3 linked regions of the Lytechinus pictus genome follow. The protein of the gene in region 1 interacts with the protein of each later gene in a pairwise test. Links are inferred from orthologs where the notes say so. Each region holds a gene or a part of one and is shown on either strand. Other genes may lie near its edges.

The links.
Region 2: the proteins of DNA repair protein RAD51 homolog A (region 1) and DNA repair and recombination protein RAD54-like interact in a two-hybrid assay, tested with the Caenorhabditis elegans proteins (3 studies listed by BioGRID). The link is inferred for Lytechinus pictus from reciprocal best matches to the Caenorhabditis elegans genes rad-51 and rad-54.L.
Region 3: the proteins of DNA repair protein RAD51 homolog A (region 1) and SUMO-conjugating enzyme UBC9-B-like interact in a two-hybrid assay, tested with the Caenorhabditis elegans proteins (2 studies listed by BioGRID). The link is inferred for Lytechinus pictus from reciprocal best matches to the Caenorhabditis elegans genes rad-51 and ubc-9.

The regions. Positions count from the first base shown.
Region 1 is NC_087251.1:40,097,163-40,104,815, forward strand, and holds the start of DNA repair protein RAD51 homolog A, read left to right. Parts: upstream 1-4,377; 5' UTR 4,378-4,383; coding exon 4,384-4,536; intron 4,537-7,653.
Region 2 is NC_087255.1:21,260,849-21,268,673, forward strand, and holds the start of DNA repair and recombination protein RAD54-like, read right to left. Parts: upstream 3,199-7,825; 5' UTR 3,046-3,198; coding exon 3,043-3,045; intron 1-3,042.
Region 3 is NC_087254.1:20,337,526-20,345,137, reverse strand, and holds the start of SUMO-conjugating enzyme UBC9-B-like, read right to left. Parts: upstream 3,526-7,612; 5' UTR 3,184-3,525; intron 1-3,183. UniProt on the Caenorhabditis elegans protein: Accepts the ubiquitin-like protein smo-1 from the aos-1-uba-2 E1 complex and catalyzes its covalent attachment to other proteins with the help of an E3 ligase such as gei-17.

The sequences.
Region 1 (7,653 bases):
AAACAAGGACAGTTTAAGGACTATATTTTGGGAATCCAATAAGAGTATACATATCTCACCATAGTCATCTAATGCGAGTGCTAAGCGCTTGCTGACTTTGTTTGAATAATATACATCTAAACACATGAAGCACTTTTTGTAGTCATTATAATCATGATCATCATATGCATCTCGATCACTAGTCAAATATTAAGAGCGCGAAGCGCGAGCTGAAAATTTAGGAAATTTAGACCTGAAGAGGGGCATTCTAAGGCCTGCTTGTAGGAATTCACGAAAACCATGCTTATTTTACTAACCAAATGATGCGAGCGCGAAGCGCAAGATGAAATTTTTTAATATTCAGATCAGAAAAAGGGACATTTTAAGGTCTGATTTTAGGAATTCATGAAGAACATACATATCTCACCAATCCACGAATGCAAACGTAAGCACGGACAGGAAATGGTTTATATTAAGACCTTAAAATGGGGCAATCACTTTAATTAAAGGTCAAGTCCACCCCAGAAAATTGTTGATTTGAATCGATAGAGAAAAATCAAACAAACATAACGCTGAAAATTTCATCGAAATCAGATGTAAAACAAGAAAGTTATGACATTTTTAAGTTTCGCTTATTTTTCACAAAACAGTTAAATGCACAACTCAGCGATATGCAAATGAGAGAGTCGATGATGTCCATCACTCACTATTTCTTTTGTTTTTTATTGTTTGAATAATACAATATTTCAATATTTACAAATTTGACAAAAAGGACCAACTTAACTTAACCATAAACTGTTAAAATAATGACAATTCTACATGTTCAGGGAGAAATAAAACTTTGTTTCACTTGAAAAGGAGGAGAAATTTAGAATATTTCATATTCAATATAATAAAATACAAAAGAAATAGTGAGTGGGTGACGTCATCAGTCTGCCAATTTGCATACCGACCAGGATGTGCATATAACTGTTTTGTGAAATTAAGCGAAACTTTAAAATGCCATAACTTTCTTATTTTGCATCCGATTTTGATGAAATTTTCAGTGTTTTGCTTGTTGGATTTTTCTCCTTTTTTTCAAATCTACTTTTTGTTGGGGTGGACTTGTCCTTTAAGTAGTCATGAAAAAGAAGCATATGTCAATACATAAAACAATAATAATTTGAAGTGCGAGGAAATATATTTTGTGTATATTGACTTGAAAACGGGAGGTTTTAGTACAACAGGATTATATATCTTGTTAAACAGACAATGCGAGGACCAGGAACAATGAAGACATAGCCTAGGCCCTGCGCAAATTAGGCCTATGTTTCATAAATTTATGATTTTTTAATGTAATATAACATAACATAATTATAATATGATATAACATTATAATTAGCAATAATTTATTCTTTCCCCAGTATGTTTCTCTCCCTTTCTCCCTCTTTTTCTCTTTTCCCCCGTTTTTTTTTTGGCCAGCCGATTGGGGGGGGGGGGCACGTGCCCCCCATGCCCCCCCCCGTAGTTACGCCACTGCTCCTCGATACACAAATAAATACAATAGCATGATTAGCAAGACGGAAATAAATTAAAGATGACAAAAAGGCAAACAACAGCTGAAAATGAAGGTAGAATGGAATGAGTCAAAATATAAATTGGAAAATAAAGAAAAGGAACAAGACATTAACACTGCCGGGCTGCCGAGGATTGAAGATAACGAGCGGGAAGAAAGATGGATAATGTCGTATGAAAGTCTGTTATTACTTGCTAGATCTCCAAAGCTACCGGGGGCTCTATCCAAGAGCCCATGTAAAAATCAAATTTTGTGATAGATTTTGACATAATGTTAAAAAGATAATATCATATTCACCCTCCTCTCTTTCCTTTTTTCTCTCTTTTTTTGTACGCCACGGTGAACAGGATTTTTGTTATGATTGTGAGCATCAGGGCGAAGCTCTATATGCTCGAGTATGGCGCGCTTCTGGCAAGAAGTAGCTTAATATAGGTCCCGAGCGAGCGAAGCGAGCGAGATAAAAAAAATCACCTTTTCATGAGAATCTAACATAAAGATAGATTTTAACGTGATATTCAGAAAAATATAATACACTTTCCTTTCTTTCCTTATTTTTTGTTTGGTTGTAGAACTTTTGGGGGCCTTGGTCCAAACTCATCCATATAACAGTGCTTTATGGGTGGGGTCCAGGGCAGAGCCCCGGAACCTCTTGATATCAAATCCATTTTAAACCCGTTACAGATGGCCACTTATTTTAATCAAATTGCGTGTATATTTATATAGCTGTAACACAACACATAAATTCAATGCAGTTGTGTATCGTAATCATCCAAATATTGTGAAGGGCACACCAAAGCAAATGTGGGAAAATTTGTAAAAAGTCGCCAGCGAGCGAAGCGAGCCAGAAAAAAAAATGGCCTGTTAAAATGAAATTCTAATTATGTGATAGATTTTTACATCATTATAGCAAATATCATGTCATATATTTTTTTTTTCATTCATCTCATTTCGCTGCCTCCTTTATTTTCTTTTATTTCCCCTTGGCTGAGGAACCACCCCCGGTACGCCAGTCATTCAATGTAAAGCTTAATGCAGGAAGGGTCCATATAGGGGCCCGTTATAGAACCCATTAAAGGTTACAGATGAAGAGCCCCCACTGCACGGGAGATTGGAGATTTAGCAAGTTTATGATAGACTTTCATACGACATTATGCTATATACCATCCATTTTTCTTCCCGCTCGTTATCTCAATCCTCGGCAGCCCGGTAGTGTACGTTATCTTGTCCCTATTCTTTATTTTCCAATTTAGATTTTGGCTAATTCCATTCTGCCTTTATTTCCCGCTTTTGTTTGCCTTTTTGTCATCTTCAATTTATTTCCCTGTCTTACTAATCATGCTAATGTATTTGTATATCGGGGCGAATTTTTCTTTCTCACTTGTTCTTTTTTCCTTCCTTTTCCCGTTATCTTTCCGTTTTCCCTTTTTTTATGTATTTTCTTAGTTTTCTTTTCCCCTTCCCCTTTCCCCTTTTTTCTTTCCTTTCCCTTTCCCTTTCTTCCCCCCCCCTTTTTTTTCTTTTTCCCTTTTTTTTTAATTTTCCCGGTGAGCTCCGCCAGGGGGGGCAGCTTGCCCCCCCTGCCCCCCCGCCTGTTACGCCACTGCCTTTAAAGGGCTCTATAACGGGCCCCTATATGGACCCTTCCTGCATTAAGCTTTATGTTGAAGCACTGGCGTACCCGGGGGGGGGGGGGTACCACAGCCAAGGGAATATAAAAGAAAATAAAGGAGGCAGCGAAATGAGATGAATGAAAAAAAATATGTATATGACATGATATTTGTTATGATGTAAAAATCTATCACAATTACAATTTCATTTCAAAAGGCCATTTGCTATGTGTGCCCCCTCAAAATATTTGGATTATTACGGTACATAACCGCACTGGATTTATGTGTTGTGTGCCCTTGTGTGAAAGCTATATGAATATAAACGCAATTTGATTAAAATTAGTGGCCATCTGTAAGGTTTAAAATGGCTTTTATATCAAGAGGTTCTGGGGCGCACTGTTTTATGGATAAATTGGACCATGGCCCCCAAAGTTCTACAACTAACCACCCCCCCAAAAAAAAAAGAGGAAAGAAAGAAAAGCATGCAAGCCAAAGGAAAACTGTATTATATACTTTTTTTAATATATCACGTCCAAATCTTTCATGTTAGATTCTCATATGAAAAGGTTTTTTTTTTTTATCTCGCTCGCTTCGCTCTCTCGGGACTTAAAAGGAAAGAGAGAAGGATGAAATATGATATTATGTCAAAATCTATCACAAAATTTGATTTTTGCAATAAAATTATCAAAATTTTTGCTCGCTCGCATTTATATTTCTTTGTACGATACACCATACCACCCCCTCAAAATTTTTGCCTCATGACGCCATTGCCTGTTCCATGATATGACCGGGAAATTTTTGGCTCTTGCCCCCCCCCCCCCCCCCCCTCCCCGGCCACCAACCCCTGTTACGCCCCTGTAAAACAGGACTTGTCGGATACAAGTCCTTCATGAAACTCCCTTGCTTTGTTGTAGTTCCAATTTAGGGCCTAAGTTTTCATTTCAGATGGTAACCTTACAAGATACCATATTATATAAATACGGATGACTAATCGCCACTCCCAACATAACAACAAGAAGAGAAGTTATTTCATTTAGACGATTCCATTTTAATTATAGGGGTTATCTTGTAGATGATGATTATTATTATTATTTTTAACTTGGTTTAGCCATATCCATGAAAGTAATTTTTGAAAAAAATAATGAATATTTTTCACAGTTTTATTTCAGATAGTATTATTTCTATTTTTTTTTTTCTTAGAAAGACTTATAAAAATCTGATAGACCCTATGGGCAGGCGCCTATGCCCCGAAAATATTTGCAAGCTCCAGCTAGCTCCAGATATGCAGATCCAGCCAGCGCGCGTTCTACAAATTTTGGTAACTGCCCTGTAATTCACGGCATAATTAACCTCGCAAGACCGACGTATTTTCACACTTTCAAAGAGAAATCAGAGGTGATATTTAATGATTTATTAAACCTTGTTATTGTTTTCATTTGTGTTATGATCTTTCATTACTCTCAGCTTTCTTCACTTCTTCATTACTTTTAATCTTATTCACTTCTTGTGTCTGTCTGACGTGTTCACCAACCATTTTCTTGCCATCGGCATCGCACTGACTGGCCGCACAAGGGACAAGCAGCCTACGGTATATCGGTAGGGTGTCTGAAGCCACACTGAAAAGTGTCAGCATAAAACAGGCTGATTTAGGGGAAAATATGGCACATTTTTTCGGGGAAGTTCAGGCTACTAGAAAAATGTGATCTGAATTGATTATTAACTTGTGTTTGGCATGTATGGAAAGAGAAAATTCAGGGGCTTCTTTTGACAGTAAGGACAAGTTTATATATATGATCATTTTAAATAAGGAATAAAGGATCATTTACCGTAAGGGTACTAGTATTCAACCCGTTTGGAGAGTTTCCTCAAATATATAGAAATATAGAATTTACCTGAATTTCAGACCCGTCTTATTTCCAAGAGCAAATGCTGGTTATTCTTTTTCCGTTATTTTTTTCTTCAACCAGTTGACTGTGTGCGCGGGCGATCGAATTATACGGCGACGGATTTTAGTACTAGTATTCAACCCGTCGGCACTAGTATTCAACCTAGCGATGAAAGATGGCCCTGTCTCTCAATCTGCCCTTGTCCCATCCGACTATGGACTAGACCATTTGAGATGAGACCAAACAGGGAATTAATCAAAGCCAGAGACTTACATAGATCTAGATCTAATTTAGCAATCTAAACCCTTTTGAGATTTGCTATCAATCCTCACTAGGTTGAATACTAGTACCATTCAGTGCAAAAGGCCATCGCCGCATAATTCGATCCTCCGCGCATACAGTCGACAGATTGATAAAGAAAATACCGACAACAGATTACCCTGGACATAACAAAGGTATGAAATTAAGATAAATTCCCTATTTCTAAATATTTTGGGGAATATGTCAAAATCTTTGAATTATGCCGGGTTGAATACTAGTACCCATACGGTACTAGACTTAGACTTAGAGGTAAATTGCAACCCCTTATTTTTGTGTGTGTTGAGATTGCCATTTCTCCATGCGTTTTCTATGGGAAAATGAAATTTCTGTTTTGCACAATTTTTTTCACTTTGTCGCAATTTTTCATTGTGATCTGGTTTCCAAATCTTTATAAAAATCATACCATCAGATAGAGCATAAAAAATCCTATTCATTTATTGGACTCTAATTATGGACAGGTTTTTGGCATTAATAATAAATTTATAATTAACAGCTCTCGGAAGCTAAAAATTTGGATTTGTGTGTGTCCATTTCTTAACTACACAGTCTATGGCAGAGAAATGCTGAAAATTTACCTAATTTCATTCTTCTTTTTTGCAGCCAATAATTGGATTTTTTTCAAAAATGTTACATTTCTGTCAGTCTGAAGGTCATTTCTCTTCAAATTCACAAAGAAAATGTGATATTTTCTTGAAATAAGAAAAATAATTTTTTTCTCCAGACACCCTAAATTTTCTAATAGCGGTACCCCTCGGCTCTCCACGAAAAACAATTATTTTCGTGCGCGACAAATTATGATTCCAGACGCGCGTCGGACGGGTGAAGATATTAAACAAATACCGGTATATCAGGCTTTGAGAAAGTATAGTGGAATTATTTATCCGAGGTTGGTCTGACAACTACTAAATACTATTTTTCCCGAGGGGCGAAGCCCCGAAGGAAATAGTAATTAGTATGGCAGTGTATCCTATTACCGGACACCTTTATTTCAGTGCTTTAAAAATGAAAAACTAGAGGAAATACAATCAAGAAATATTTGCACTTGCTATTCCAAATATTATGAAAATTATGAATATGATAAAATTATTTCATATTTACCAACCGTTTTCTTTGCATCGCAATTGTCGCATACCCCTCCACGAAAAAGTTATTTTCGCGCGTGACAAATTACATCATGATTCCGGACGCGCGCCGGACGGGTAAAGATATTCTTCATTATAATGATGTAAGAAAGAATTTGTGTGAATTTTTCTTCATATATCATATCATGCATAAATTCTAAGCTTATGTTTTGTTTTTTTTCACATCAAATCTGAGCAGATGTTGGTAATAAATTTGTGTTTGATAAATTTTATTTTGACTTCTCAGCTGCATGTTCCATGCCCATGGCACTTTCCAATACTATGCTCGTTCGTATCGTAACGCTCATCAGGTTTGATGCGCTGTCGATCGATGGTCGACGGCTATAGTCACGGTAAACCTCGGGCACGGTATACCTCGAGTCTAGCCGTCGGCGATTAACCACAATACACCACACTTCATCATTCGATCGAAGGAGAGGACGGGACTGAAATTCGGCAAAATCAGGCCCATTTTTCCATCAGAAAATATATCAATTGTTAATGCAAAACTACGTTATATGATATTTAAATCATTTTCTGTCATTTTAGAGATAAATAAGGTAAAAATTGGATTTTTTCGCCTTGTTTTAGCAATCTTGTTCTATGAATTGCTCTGTGAAATTGAATTGCGGAAGTCTTACGGTACAAAATTGTTTTCGTACGCAGTACTATGCGCGTCCGGAATCATAATAGTGTCCGGTAATACAATACGTAACTGTACTATAGTTTTGCCAGCGCGCGCCAGTCCAACCGAGTATTAATAATTCCCACTACTCACTAGGCCTATATATTTCTATGCTTTCGAATGAAACGCCTGATATATTTGTTTTATATCCTACTTTTGATAATTTATAACCAAAATCTATGCGCTGAGCTTGCAAAGTCCGGTTACTTGCGTCAAATTACCTACTTTTCTCCGAGCCACCGCGCTCAGCGGAACGCAGATTAGTGCCTGCACCGACGCATCGCGGGATTTGCCCTGGAGTCTGGACTCGGGAGAGAGAGCTCGCTGGCCGGTGCGCCCGAGAGTTTAGCTAAATAACCAGTTTTCTGAAATAATGATGTCAGAAATATTGGTATAGCAAAAAATATATTGAGGTTTGACGTCACGCAACATCATAGTTGAAATATATTCGCTGACTCATTCATTATTGACCTGGGGGTGGTGGCTCAACTTGCCCCTA
Region 2 (7,825 bases), on another chromosome or scaffold:
AGTAGCGCAGTGAGCTCCGTCGGTAATACGACCTTTCAAAGTTCATGGCGGCATCCGCTATCACCACTAGGTTGAAAATAAAATGTATATCATCATAAACGATGTAAGAGAGTAACGCAATAAGCTCCGTCAGTAGCACGATCTTTCAAAGTTCACGGCGGCATCCGCTATCACCACGAGGTTGAAAATAAAATGTATATCATCATAAACGATGTAAGAGAGTAACGCAATAAGCTCCGTCAATAGTACAGTCTTTAAAAGTTTATGGCGGGGTCCGCTATCACCACGAGGTTGAAGAGAAGATTTATATCATTATAAACGGGGTTAGAGAGTAGCGCAGTGAGCTCCGTCGGTAATACGACCTTTCAAAGTTCACGGCGGCTTCCGCTATCACCACGAGGTTGAATATAAAATGAATATCATCATAAACGATGTAAGAGAGCAACGCAATAAGCTCCGTCAATAGTACAGTCTTTAAAAGTTTATGGCGGGGTCCGCTATCACCACGAGGTTGAAGAGAAGATTTATATCATTATAAACGGGGTTAGAGAGTAGCGCAGTGAGCTCCGTCGGTAGTACGACCTTTCAAAGTTCACGGCGGCTTCCGCTATCACCACGAGGTTGAATATAAAATGAATATCATCATAAACGATGTAAGAGAGCAACGCAATAAGCTCCGTCAGTAGCACGATCTTTAAAAGTTCACGGCGGGGTCCGCTATCACCACGAGGTTGAAAATAAAATGTATATCATCATAAACGATGTAAGAGAGTAACGCAATAAGCTCCGTCAATAGTACAGTCTTTAAAAATTTATGGCGGGGTCCGCTATCACCACGAGGTTGAAGAGAAGATTTATATCATTATAAACGGGGTTAGAGAGTAGCGCAGTGAGCTCCGTCGGTAATACGACCTTTCAAAGTTCACGGCGGCATCCGCTATCACCACGAGGTTGAAAATAAAATGTATATCATCATAAACGATGTAAGAGAGTAACGCAGTGAGCTCCGTCGGTAATACGACCTTTCAAAGTTCACGGCGGCATCCGCTATCACCATGAGTTGGAGGAGAAGATATCTATCCTCTTAAACATCGCCATAGATAATACCGCGTCTTTCTCCCTGAATAATGCGACCTCTAAATAGCTAGCACCTCAAAAACAATCTTGAAATATGTTCTGAGCGATCACGCACTGTAACCAGATCTACGCCAATTTTTTATTTTCGATTTTTTCCTTCAAGGGGCATGATCGAAGATCGGCAAGTGATTGCCGATTGTGGTGAAATCGAATGGAATCGGTTGCCGATTGCAAAATCGGTTACAAGCTTATACTCCATGGTGAAGAAGTATAACATCATGGGGCCGATTGCACGAAAGGGTCTTTCCAAGGACCGTCTTTCGTGTCGCCCATCTTTATAATGCGCTACAGTACAACTACAGTACAAGTGGTTGGGGGTCCTAAAGCTACGCGGGTCCTAAAGCTACGCACCACTCATCGCGCATGCAATTCCAATGGCAAAATAAATGCGCACTCTAGCTCTGTGTGTGAAGCTGTGACGAACGATCCCTATTCAATTTTTTTACAGAGGCTGCAATAAACCCTTGAATGCAGAGAAAACCAGCAAATGTTTGGAATTTCGGAGTTATATTCACTTTGATTTCATATTTTCCTATAATAATACGGACATATTTTAGAAATTGAGGCACAGGAAATACTATTTCTTTGCATGATAAATTGAGTGCGTAGCTTTAGGACCCCTTCTACATCGGGCGGCGAAATTAAGAGGTGTTCGGAAAACACGGCGGGATTTTCGTATTCGTGAGTTTTGTGATATTTTCTTCTTGGTTAAGGATATTTAGAATATTTATTACAAATTAGTGAAAAATAATTGTTCAAATATTAAAATTGGCATAGTTTTTATCGTTTGGAAACAAAGTGCGTAGCTTTAGGTCCCCCCATCATACAAGCGGGGTGTTTCTGAAATTTATGATAATCAAATACAATTCGTAAGCTTGCTTTTAAATCAAATTTATACAACTTTGTGAGATATCACATCATTTTATAAACAAATAGGCCTAGTTTGTTTATTTCAATGGACGAATAAAATATGTTTGCAGATAATTTATTTGAAATGCGTTTCATATGGCGCATCATAAAAAATGGGCGACACGAAAGACGGTCCTTGCAAAGACCCTTTCGTGCAATCGGGCCCCTTGAGTCCTCAAGACCACTCATTCAATGAACAAGGTTATGATATAACCTTGTTCTCAGTTATATCTCCATGTGTGGTAAAATAAGGATGGCAATGTTTGGCTTATTTTCTCTTTTTCTTTGGGACAAATACTTGATTTTTTTACACTGACAGTTTCCATTACCCCTATTTGTCATACAACTTGGCCCTTAAGTATATTTGATTCTTTAAATTATTTTTTTCTTAATTAAAAATAGAGATAAAAAATGAAAATTTTCTTGCCATATTATTTTCCACCAATAGAGGGCGTACACACAAATATGCCCAAAATTCAAGTTTTTAAGCGCTCTAGTGAATACAAAATTATTCTCAAGTTACTAATGAAAAATAAATTGCAACTAGGCCTAGGCCTATATGGAAATTAGTAATTTTGGTCACAAAAGTGATATTTTAATTATTTTTCAAAGTGTGTGCTCTGTACAGCATTGGCATGCCATAATCCAACCTGTAGATTCCCCACAGGCAGGGTGGTTGCAGTGAACAAGTGCTCAAGACTAGGTTCTACCAAAGCCTTGTAAAGGCAAAGACCCTTCTAACTCTAGACTAGTCTAACTAAGTAACAGGCCTGGCCACTGCACTTCTCCCTGGATCCGCGGCTCTGTGCAGCTAGCACCCAGCGGGGTGCGCCCGGCTGCTCGGCGCCTGACCCTTGCCTAATCTAATTCAGGTACCGTACCGTACGGTAATTGCCTTGCTGCCTGGCTTGCTGGTCCCGCTGACACCGTCTCTAAATAACTTTACAACTCACGACTTTTTAATACGGTACATTTAATATAATATGGAGAACTTACCATCTTCTTGTCACTTCTCTAATTCTTTAGAACAGCTGAAAACACGATTCTCATCATTCATCATTTAACGTCACTAATTCCAGTTTTTAGTTTAATAAACTTTATTAAAGCGATTCGCAGCCCGCAGGTTTGCCAGTCAAAATTCGAACGGAGCGCGCGCAGCAGCCTATGGAAAGCTCAGTGTTTCAACAGATCCAAAACAAATTTCCCGAAACTTATTCCAAAATTTCCCGAAATTCATAGACATTTCCTAGAATTTTCAAGTTTTATTTCTAACTAAAATCGGGCAATAATACAGCGAGCCTAAATTTGGTCCAAGTGACCAAAATCAAGGAATTCAACATTTTTTTTCACTCTCTTTTAAAATAGGAACAAAATTACGAATTGCGAGCGCGGGGCGCGAGACCACAATTTTGAGCTACGTATCGAGGTAAACAAATTTATAACATGAATATTAAAGTTGAAAAGTTTAATTGTAATTTTCTGGTTACCCGGAATTACCTGGATTTTTTTCATTACCCGAAAATTACCTGAAAATGATCCGGATTACCCGGAAATCGGGTAATTTCCTTCAAAGTGAAAACAGTGGGAAACTCGGCTAAACGATATGAACTCGATTTTTTTAAATACCGTTTTTTGTTTACTGGTAAAATTGAGTATTGATTCATAAAAGATACACCTCTATGATTGGTTTATATATCAGTGGCGGATCAAGCTTTTTGCAAAAGGGGGTTTAAACAGTCGGTTTGACCCAATGAAAGTGGCATGAAGCCTAAATTAATAAGGGGACCAGAGAAGATAGCATCTATGGGAGACTTTCTCCAAAGATTAAGCAAACAAAGCAAGCGCGCATAAAATTGACAAAGTTAATAAAAAGTATAATATTGTGATAGATTCTGACATGACATCCAGAAGAAAATATTGTATTCCACCCTTTTCTTTTTTTTTTTTTTTATATTTTCTCCCATCTACATAGGGGCGACCTCCGACCGCCTCCCTATGGTATTAAATTGAAAAATGAGGGAAGAAGAACAAAATATATTTTTTAAGAAAGAAAGGAAAGAAGGGAGGATATTGATCAATCAAAAAGAGATGTATAGCTCGTGTACTAACTCTTACAAAAATAAAATAAAAGAAATGAATGAAAAAAAAAATCAATTAAATATATGAAATTTTTGTGTTTTGACTTTGATCCACTTAATATTTATCTGGAATCCAAAATAATTTGGCCAAAACATAAAAAGGCTGCTTATTTCGTTCTTAATGAAACAGAAACAGAAATAGAAATGACAATTATCATTGATAATATGATAACTACCTTTCATAATGTTTTCATCAATTAAATCACAATTTGAGATGTAGAAGAGATAAGGGTTCATAAATCCTCTCATTTCGTGAACATGATCTGAAACAAACGAACATCAATTTGAAACTCAACATGACTCTGAGTGGATATTTTTCTCACCTTAAACTATTAAAATCCGAAAAATCTTTATTTCTTTTATACAGTATGTTTATATTTCTGTTGTATACTTGCATATACGCTCTATACATATTTCTTGGTCTTCATACACAATATCATATTATTATACACATTACTCAGCTTTTAAATCCTACGATCCGTAGGGGTACTGCTGGGGTATGCGAGCTGACTTGTCATCAAAATATGATGTAAGATAAGAAAGTCAGCCATAATTATGACGTTATAAAGATTCGGTTAATTTGACATAGTCATGCATATCATTGTCCAGGTCAGGGGCAGCGGAGTAAAGTTGAGGACGAATTAAGATGCGTATATTTTTTTAAGTATTATCTTACAAAGGGCACATTTCATTTTGAAAAATATATACTTTTTCCCTATGGAATTTTTTTGGATTATCACCCTGCCCCCCCCTCTCCCGATTCCACTACCCCTAGAGAAAAGAAAGGAAATGACACTATAATTATAACTAACAGACTTAAAATTTCGAACAAACGAGAAAAGAGAAGGGGCATTGATGAGAAATAAATATCATGGGCATATCAAAAAGTGACACACGGAAGAAAAATTTTACTATGAAAAAAAAAGAGCTATAAAGGGGGAAATAAATACATTTTGAAAGGAATTATTCAATTTTAAGCTGCACTTGCAGAAGGGAACAGAACGCTAAATACAGAAATTGACCTGATCGGGCATGGAAAGAACTTATAGATACGGGAATTGCATGCAGGGGCGACGGAACCGAGGGGGTGGCAGGGGCACTTGCTTGGTGATTACTATAAAAAAAAATCTGTATGACATTGACGCAAAACATGATAATCATGTACATAGCGACAGGCTTGCGGCGACCAAGACTTTGATCTCTAAACAACCAATTCAAGAATTATGTCATTCGTAATTCTCGAACTCGTCCTCAATTACATATTGTTTGATACGAATCCGACCTTTGGTATACCTAAGATTAACGGGGTCATCCTAACCCATAGAACTGATCACAGTTTAATTCATAACTAATTAATTAAACAACTCTTGGGAGCTACACTGATGTTGTAGACCAAAACGTAAAGTTAAACAAACGGACCAAGAAATTCTAAAGTAGTTATGATCAGTTGCACGTTGAGATAACGAGCTCAGAACATGCAAGTTTGATTAACACTCCTAAATTTTGCTCTCTAGAAAGGAGGAATTTGATCTGAAAATGACCGTTTCATCAAATTTGGTATTTATACTATGCTTATTTTTGCCTGTCCAGCAGTTCTGGGCCTGGGAAGCTAGAGATTTGGGATGGTTTCTTATCCGGAACCCAGCGTTTACGGCGATAGAGCCCCGGCCAGGAGGAGTCGGTGGATATGATCTCAGTATCAGCACCTTTTCAGCTATCCCAAATACTCTAGATTCGAACTATATTGTGCGTGATATAGCAAAACAGTTGGTGGAAGAAGGCGATGTGAGACGATTGAATACAGATGTGTTGGACGGAGGGTTGTTTTGGCCAAATGAGGTTGGACTAGTACCAGGTGAGTGATATCATGTATATATATGATAACAACAACAATAATAATGATCCCAGCACTCTCACCCCCTCAAACATACACCCACTTTCCCACACACACTCAAACACACATCCACACTTGTCATTTCAGGTTAAATTTATTTATATTTGAATAAATCACAAAATTTACAAATGATTATAATAAAAACAGAAATAAAATAAAAATTGAGAAAAATATTTATATTGAATATACATATATGTTTATGTATGTGGACTTCTCTATGCAGGAAATAGTCAACACTCGGTGAGTCAACTTTGAAAACACAGTGAAAACAATGTGGGCACGGTGTGATGCGTGTATCATTATGACACATGTGAAACGGTTCACACTGTTTGATTTCATTCCCTCACTGATTGATAACGAAAAACACACTTGTTTTTTGTGTTCACACAATCATGCTATTCGACACACATTCGAAACTTGCAACTGTGAAATTCATTTATCACAGTGTGTTCACACATCGCCCACGCAGTGAAGATTATATAAAACCACACTGTGTAGAAGGTATCCACTGCGGCTGCATTTGTACTGCACAATAATTTCACATAGTTCCACACAGTGACCACACTGTGAAGAAAATTGCCACTCTGTTGCATTTTTTCAACACAATGTGATCACAGTGTGAAGACATATTTTGCATATATTATTTACACATGAATGAAAAATACTTCCATATTATGAGAAAAAAATAAATATCCGCTGTTGATTTTGATTGAAAATGAAATCAAGAAATACATTTTCCCACAAAAAATGAAATAGAAAGTGGCATCCGATTGTCTTTGTTGATAATGATAAAAATAATAATTTACGCACCATAATCATAAATAACGATCAACATGGGATAAAATAATAAGCCAAGGCGCGCGGCCCCTGCCAGAAGGAAACACAGGAAGTCAATATATTTTTCTAAAAGAAAAAAGTACACAAAGTTTCTAAGAGTGCATATTGCATTTCCATTTATTTGAATGTAGGATAAAGAGCACTATCGATTAAATGCATTGCTCGCGGGGAAACATAGATGCCGTAGCCGGCGATCGAACCCCGAACTTTCAAGTGTGCCAGTGTGTCAGTACTATGTTCCACACTGTGTCACACTCACGTGGCCACCCCTCTGCCATAAATGTGGAATACGTTTTCACACTGTGGTAAGCCTACATAGTGTGTCATCATTGTGAATAATTACAAATATATCTTAACCATAGAGTGAAACAAGTGTGATGAAACTGTTTTTACCCCGTGATTAAGTCACCTACTGTATGTTAAGTCACAGTGTTGACACACTGAATACTTATGCACAGAGTGAAAACTTTTTCCTGTTAATCGCATGGGAATAACTATGTGCAACATAGTGTGTAAGACAGCATTGCCAGACACACTGTTTCACAGTCTTGTGACTGCGTGATATTTCTAGCAGGGATACATCAGCTTCGATAAAAATATTGTCTCCTCGTTTAAATTAAAAATTCAATAACTAATTAAAGATAAACAGATGAAATTATTTGAATGAGTAAATAAATAAGTAATTAAATTAATTGGTACAGAATTCTAAATAAACGAATAAATGAAATAGCCCTTCTGGAAAGAACACAGTGAGCACACAGTGTGATCACAGTGTGCTCACATAGTGGACTATGTGAAAATATCATCCACGCTGTTAAAATGCTCATGACTGTGACACCTCGACAGTGTGATTGTTCACAGCGTGTTCACAAGGCCTGCTGTGTGATTCATACTGTTGAAAACTCAAATT
Region 3 (7,612 bases), on another chromosome or scaffold:
CGCATACAAATTACAATGAATCAAGAATCTAGTTTTTTAAAATACCGACAAGCTGAATGAAGGTTGTGAATTAAATTATCGCCACCAATGGCCTTCCTTTTATTTCCGTGGAAGAGACATGCGAAGCAACTTTTCAGGCCGAGGTAAGCGATTTTGCTCTTTATGTGGTTTTTATATAGAAAAATATTTGTAAAATTGAAAATGGAATCTTATCACCAGAAAAAGCCCTGGTGAGTAGCGGAATGAGTTTTGGCTAACATTATTCGCGTTATGAAGCGACTAAGATCAGACAAGATGTATTCAGCAGTAGAGGCGCACGGCCAATATGGGAGACTCTCTCCAATAGGGGAGACAATCTCCCACATTGGAGACTTGCTTTGCAAAAGGACAAAAGAAACAACACCAACAAAAGTATGATTTTTTCCACCCAAAATTTTGTCTCACTGAGGTCAGAAGCCCATTTGTTTTGTATGTGATTGACAACAAAATTCCTTATCAAAATAAAAGAAGACGGTGAATTTTTAAAGTAGACGGTGAAAAGGGGTAATTTTTCATGAGGAATCTGCTTATCACATTTTTATTTGCCGCCAAGGTAATCCTTTGGCAGCAAATGTAAACAAAGGAAATTGGACTCCAAAACTGGAGACTGTCTCTGAAATTGGATACCCAAATTCTTTACAAAAGTCTCTGATATGGAAGATAATCTCCCACATTGGAGACAGTCTCCAATATTGGCCGTGCGCCTCTACTGTTCAGCCAGCGTGTCATAAATGACTGGAATTCGCTGCCCCAAGAGGTTGTCACACTCACACTCACAGCTCAGACGGTGAACAGTTTTAAAATAAGGCTAGACAAGGTGTGGGCTGACCAGCGGTACTGCTCACCCTATGATGAATAAACCATACTAATGTCGAGGACGGTGTAGATTTCCAAGCTAGACTGCTAGCCTATGAAGATACCTAACTAACAAGAAGGATGAAGGACTTGAATTGGAACTTCAGTGGAAGCACGACTGCTGTGCTGGGCCTGGGATCATCAGCATTCTTCCAGAATCTCGACTCGGGTAAAGGTAAAGGCTAAAGCACTAAAAAGTCTAAAGGACAACTCAAAAAACCATTGCGTTGGTTGTGCAAGGTTAGTATTAGTATAGTAAAAAAAAAAACCCCGCAATACGTGTAGCCAGGCGGCTTCTAGAGAGTAAAAATCATTTACTAACGTTAGGTCACTCTCATACGAAGCCAGGGCTTCCGTCATATACTTTTGCGTGTACCACCAAAAACCCTGAAACTTTCGCCCCCGAGATTTCTACTTTCTTTCTAAAAGATCTAGCCCTAAATCATGTACATGGGATACAACTTCATTTCCGACATTTCTACGCTATGGATTTTATTTTTAGACAAGAATTCATCCAAAAAAAATGAGAAAAATATCATGAATAGACGGAAGAGACTTGCCCGATGTTTACGCCGCCATCTTCATGATCTTGTTTTCTATTGTTCTTCCCCAACGTTACGCGACGCAAGCGTCCGTATCATGGGTGAAGAACAATAAATAGAAAACAAGATGGCGGCGTAAACATCGGGCAAGTCTCTTCCGTCTATTCATGATATTTTTCTCATTTTTTTTTGATGAATTCTTGTCTAAAAATAAAATCCATAGCGTAGAAATGAAGTTGTATCCCATGTATGGTGAGACTACCACATATCGACCACCTCTTTTGAAACCGACCACCTTGCGCGCGATAAAATTATTGCGTATTACAAACGATACGCGCGGGAGAGTAGGCGCAGTGTCCATAGAAACGGTAAGAATCGATTTTACGAGAAAAAAAGAAGCAACAAAAAGTAAAAATTTAGTAGAATTAATCAAAATTGTATTGACCAGACCCAATTCCCGCTGAAAAACCAAGAAATCCGATAGGAAACGGCTTTAGAACAAATATCCGTCGTCAATCGTCGAATCATGTGCCGGCGCGGAGCTCGCAGCGGAAGTAGTGAGACGATCATTTAGCATGTTGACATCATAGAACTGATTTGGAAGAGTAAAAATATTTACAAGAATCGGCCGTAAACTTAGTGTATCGCGGGTGGTCGGTTTCAAAAGACGGGTGCAAATGAGCAAATGTAAAATCGTCGTATTCATTGTTCGTCGATATATACGCGGATTGAATCGGAGTCGCCGAGCGAAACATGGGAATCTGATCTTCTCAATTTTCTGCACAAATGGGACTAAAACTGGGTAAAATTGATGAATATTTTTGCAGATACGATGCTGAGAAGATTAGGTGGTCGATAAGGGGTAGTTCCAACCATACATGATTTAGGGCTAGATCTTTTAGAAAGAAAGTAGAAATCTCGGGGGCGAAAGTTTCAGGTTTTCTGGTGGTACACGCAAAAGTATATGACGGAAGCCCTGGCTTCGTATGAGAGTGACCTTACGTTAGTAAATGATTTTTACTCTCTAACTTGTTAGAAGCCGCCTGGCTAAATACGTGTGAGTGGATAATGAAACTTGAATGAAAAGGAAAAAAGATGCAGTGCCACTGCACTGGCTGGCATAGACAGCTGGCAGCCGTCGGTTTCGAGGAGTTTTTTTAACTTTTTTATTTTTTTAATTTCTCCTCATACACAGACGGCTCGCTAGCGTGCAGCCACCACCATTGATTAGGGGACTTGCAATGCAAAATCCCCCCGTCGGGGCTCTTCAATTTTTGTCTTTAATGAATAAAAATTTTGAAAATTAACGCGACCAAAATGCAAATTAATATTCCCTCTTGGCATTAATTGCCAAAAAACGGAGAAAAATCAAGTTAAAAGGAACAAAAACAGTGTCAGTGACTTACCTCGGCTGTCGCGCAAATTCACTTCCCCGTTTTATCCGATCTTGACTTAAGTACATAAACATATTGCCATTGAGTCCCCTGTACAGATCGCGCTAAAACTTCGGTCTCTGTATTTGGTGAGTGAAGCCAACGGAGTTCAGCTGAACAACCAACATAACAAAATTAACAGAGACCTGGAGACCGAAGCTTGTTTTAGTTTTGGTCTATGACTATGGCTGGCACTGCTGCATGCTGTGCAGTCTGCTCTGCATGCACTGCACTGTGGTGTGTGCCAGTGGCAGTGCAGTGCATTTTGTCAGAATGTCATTCAAATGTGTGTTGATAGACTACGATTTACTCACCCTAACGTTAAAAGGTTGCAATTCACGACAAAGTCGTGGGCATGTAAACTGTTATTCGGCGAGATGAAAAGAAATCCGGGTATCTCGACGACTCGGCAAAAAGATGAGATCTCATTCATTCACAAAAGCAACGGAGATCCTGGCCTCAAGCGCAAATTCAGTTTACGATCGCGAAATACGCACAGCAGCATGCAAGCGCAAAAGCACAGTAAATAGACGTGCAATATACGAGTAGGGCCTAGACCGCGCAGACATGCAATAGTCGTACAAAAATGAAAAATAAAAAATGAACGTGAAGTCGTGAAATGAGCGAAGGTCACGTGATTTGACTAAACCAAGATTGATTAACGAAAGAGGGCGCAATAGCTGATTTCGCATTTTAATCCAGGAACACTATTTCGCATGTACTAGTATTTTGACATTTTGGGAAGAGGGAGGCGAAGGAGAAGAAGCGAGGACGAAATGAAATATGTTACTACATTGTATTTATACGAAGTTATAACTACATGCATATAATGTTCGCATACATTTTGTTTTAAAAAATGTTTGTTTACATTAATATATCTAATTAATCTAATAAAAGGAAGAATGGAAAGAAAAAAAAATCGAAAAAAATAGTAACTAAAGAAGGAGAGGGGGAAATAATGGAGAAAATTAAAAAGCACTGGTGTACACCGGGGTGTACAGATGGCTCTCCCCCCCCCCCTCCCTAAACAAAAAAAAACAATTACGACTAAGAAAAGAAAAAGGTAAGAAAAAGAGAGATGGGTGAAATATATTATTTTCTGAAAGTTATGTCAAAATCTATCAAATTTGATTTTTTTTTTAAGAAAAATGTCAAATTCTTTGCTTGCGCTCGCGTCGCTCACAGCCTTTCATAAATTTTACACAATATGCCACATCTTGCCAAGGTAGAGAGCAAAGATAAGAAAGGATCAGAGGAATAAACAAAAGAGGGCAGAAAAGAAAGGGGCAGGGGACAAACGGAAAATTACCTCAGGCGCCACTTGATCGGAGTGAGGTCTGCAGAAAAGAAGGAGAAGAAGAAGACGAACAAGAACAAGAAGAGGAAGGAGGAGACGAGGGTTAGGAGAATAAAAAGTAGAAATTCTCCTTAGAGATTTTGTGTGTTGTATATGAAAATATTACACAACCTTCAAGGGTGGCAGGGAAGGTTGTGCAGTAATTGATAAATTGAACAAAAATATATTAACTAATAATGTGCACAAACTATCATATTTGGACTGCTGTAGTTGCATTTTTCCCCCTAGTAACAAAATACATTTCTGAGAGGTTTGATAAGTCCATGAAGCTGTTTGACACTACTCAACAAGTTTTCCCGGAGCACCATACTTAAGACTCTGATAAAGAGTAATAATGAGTAAGACATTCTGTACTATTTACATTATTTTTAATGAGTCCTCTTGCTTGCACTGATACAATAATGGCACAAAAATAATAAAATCATCAAAATCGAAATGACAATAAAAATCTTTTAATAGAACATATTTTTGACACTGATGAAAACCATCCCATTATTCTAAAAAATCTCCAACAAATGGATATAATGTTATGGCAGTACAATCAATTGCCATTAACTTCCTTTATATATCATTTGTCAATTGTAATCATAATTATTTTTTTAATGCATGAAAATAATAATCACAATAATCAACATTTTATAATACTCAATGAATTGAACAAACCTGTTTTATCCAACATTGATCATAGCAACATTGCTTCTCAGCTAATCAAAATCAATCGGACAAAAAATGTTGACGAAATGCTCCCAAGGATTATTATTCTAAGTGCTGTATCATTACCCTGTTCATCAAGCTCTGACTTAATTGCTTTCACATATTCATGGCTATACACAGAAATTATTTTCAATACTATTTTTTTTTTTGGAGGGGGGGGGGTTAGGACGTGTAAAATTTTTTGAGGAAAAAAAAAATCGAAAACGAGGAAGAGAAGCGACCAAGCTTTTATTGGGGCACGTTTGCATTTTGTGAAGTGAAATTGAAGGATTTTGTACATAGTTTTTTTTTTTAAATAATCAGTAAAAAATGTAAGTTTTCAAAATTTCCGGGGGGGGGGGGTACTACCCACCCCCCCCCCTCCTCCTTTGCATACAGCCATGCATATATTGAAGCTGTGAGCCTACTTCCTAGGGGAAGATTCAAACAAGAGAGAACTTAAATTACTAAGAACACTACACACTTTCCTTATCCTACTAAGTCACCATTCAACACCTGGGTGGAGAGAAGCAAATTGTCAAATGACATCTTGCCAAATAATGATCATGCCAAGGTGGGATTTGAACAAATCCTGAAAAAAAAATTACTTTGGTAATAGATCATTCATTGTACTGCTCATACGCATACTGTATAGATATATTTCAATTACTGTGTGATTATCAATCATGAAAACATGTAATACTTCCCATTGGCCTGTAATATTACTAAGTAAATATACATGTATAATCAGAATAATCAGTAACTCATTATAATTTTCATTCTACAAAAATGACAATAAATAAAATAAATAAACCCTTCAGTGTACCTTCATGTAACAAAGTGAAAATAGATATTTATCAATTCTGAATCTACGAGAAAAAGAAAGAGTGAGCAGGTGGGGTGTAAAAATGGTGTGTGACAGAGTGAGAGAGGGGGAGAGAGAGAAAAGGGAGCTTTGGATGGATGAGAATAGAGTAGCAATGGTTGAAATCACAAAGTTCATATTTCTTCGACCTTTTCAAATTATAAATTCAAAATAAATCAAAGCCAAACTTATTCAAGCTTTTTTAAATGATACTTTCACTGTTCTGTACCCTTTTGAATAAAAGAAAATTAATTGCATTTTATAATAAATGCAATTATGAATATAATCAACCAGTGGCGGACCGTGACCCGGAGGAGACAATGATTGGAGGGGCACTGTATTGTTTGTGAACAATGTTGTGCCCCTCCAATGCTTTGTCTCCTCCGGGTCACAGGTGCCACTGTAATCAACCATATTTTGATAATAAACCACTCTCTCATAATAAATACAAATTTTACAACCAACTTCACAGCCACAAGCTTGACTCCACCGTTTGCAAATAATAAATCAAACGAAAAAGGGACCAGCCCTCGTGTTCATCTTCATTAGTTTAAAAAAACATCTTATCATATATCAGCATCACATTCATCCTATCACAATGACCATACATGAAACATAATTACACCTGTGCAGGTACCACATAAAACCCATTAAAAAAATAATAATCAAGTAGTATTTTTTGTAGTCAAGTAGCAACCAGTTTGGGGCTGATAGTGCTTTGAAACTATGTCATGTACAGTATTCATCATTTTAGTTTTTTCATAAAATCATTATGAACACAAGTCAAAATACATTTATTGACAACGTTGGATTACCTAAATTAATATTTTTGATCTTTTTCTTTAAGGTTTAAACAATACCAAGTGAATTACATAATACCCACACAAAGGCATGCTGTTCTCCAGAACATAAATTTAAAGGACAAGTCCACCCCAACAAAAAGTTGATGAGAATAAAAAGAGAAAAATCCAACAAGCATAACATTGAAAATTTCATCAAAATCGGACGTAAAATAAGAAAGTTATGACATTTTAAAGTTTCACTTAATTTCACAAAACAGTTATATGCACATCCTGGTCGGTATGCAAATCAGGAGACTGATGACGTCATCCACTCACTATTTCTTTTGTATTTTATTATATGAAATATGAAATATTCGAATTTTCTCCTCATTGTCAAGTGAAACAACAATTAATTCCTCCCTGAACATGTGGAATTAACTTTATTTAATACTATATGTTTCAGTCAAGTTGGTCCTTATTGTCAAATCTGTAAAAAATAAAATACTGTATAATTCAAACAATAAGAAACAAAAGAAATAGTGAGTGAAGGACATCATCGACTCTCTCATTTACATGTCACCGAGTTGTGCATATCACTGTTTTGTGAAAAATAAGCGAAAATTTAAAATGACATAACTTTCTTATTTAACATCCGATTTTGATGAAATTTTCAGCGTTATGCTAGTTTGATTTTTCTCTTTTTATTCCAGTCAACATTTTTCTGGGGTGGACTTGACCTTTAAGAATACTTACACGTACATGTAATACTCTTAATGTGCAAATATAATTCCTCAAGTATTCACATACTGTATTCATACTCATGAGAGTGAATGAGTTTTATAGGTACAGTGCATCCAATTATGCTCAGTAATCAAGTATAGTACTGAACCATTATTTCACAAGCATTCATAGAAAACATGTGTATTGTGTATATGAAAGAGTTGTAGATATAAAAAATAACAATAATAAAGCAGGTATTTGGATTACCCCTAATTGTTTGGAATAGGATAATTCTATGTCCCACTTGTTCATGCTTTTAAGAAAAT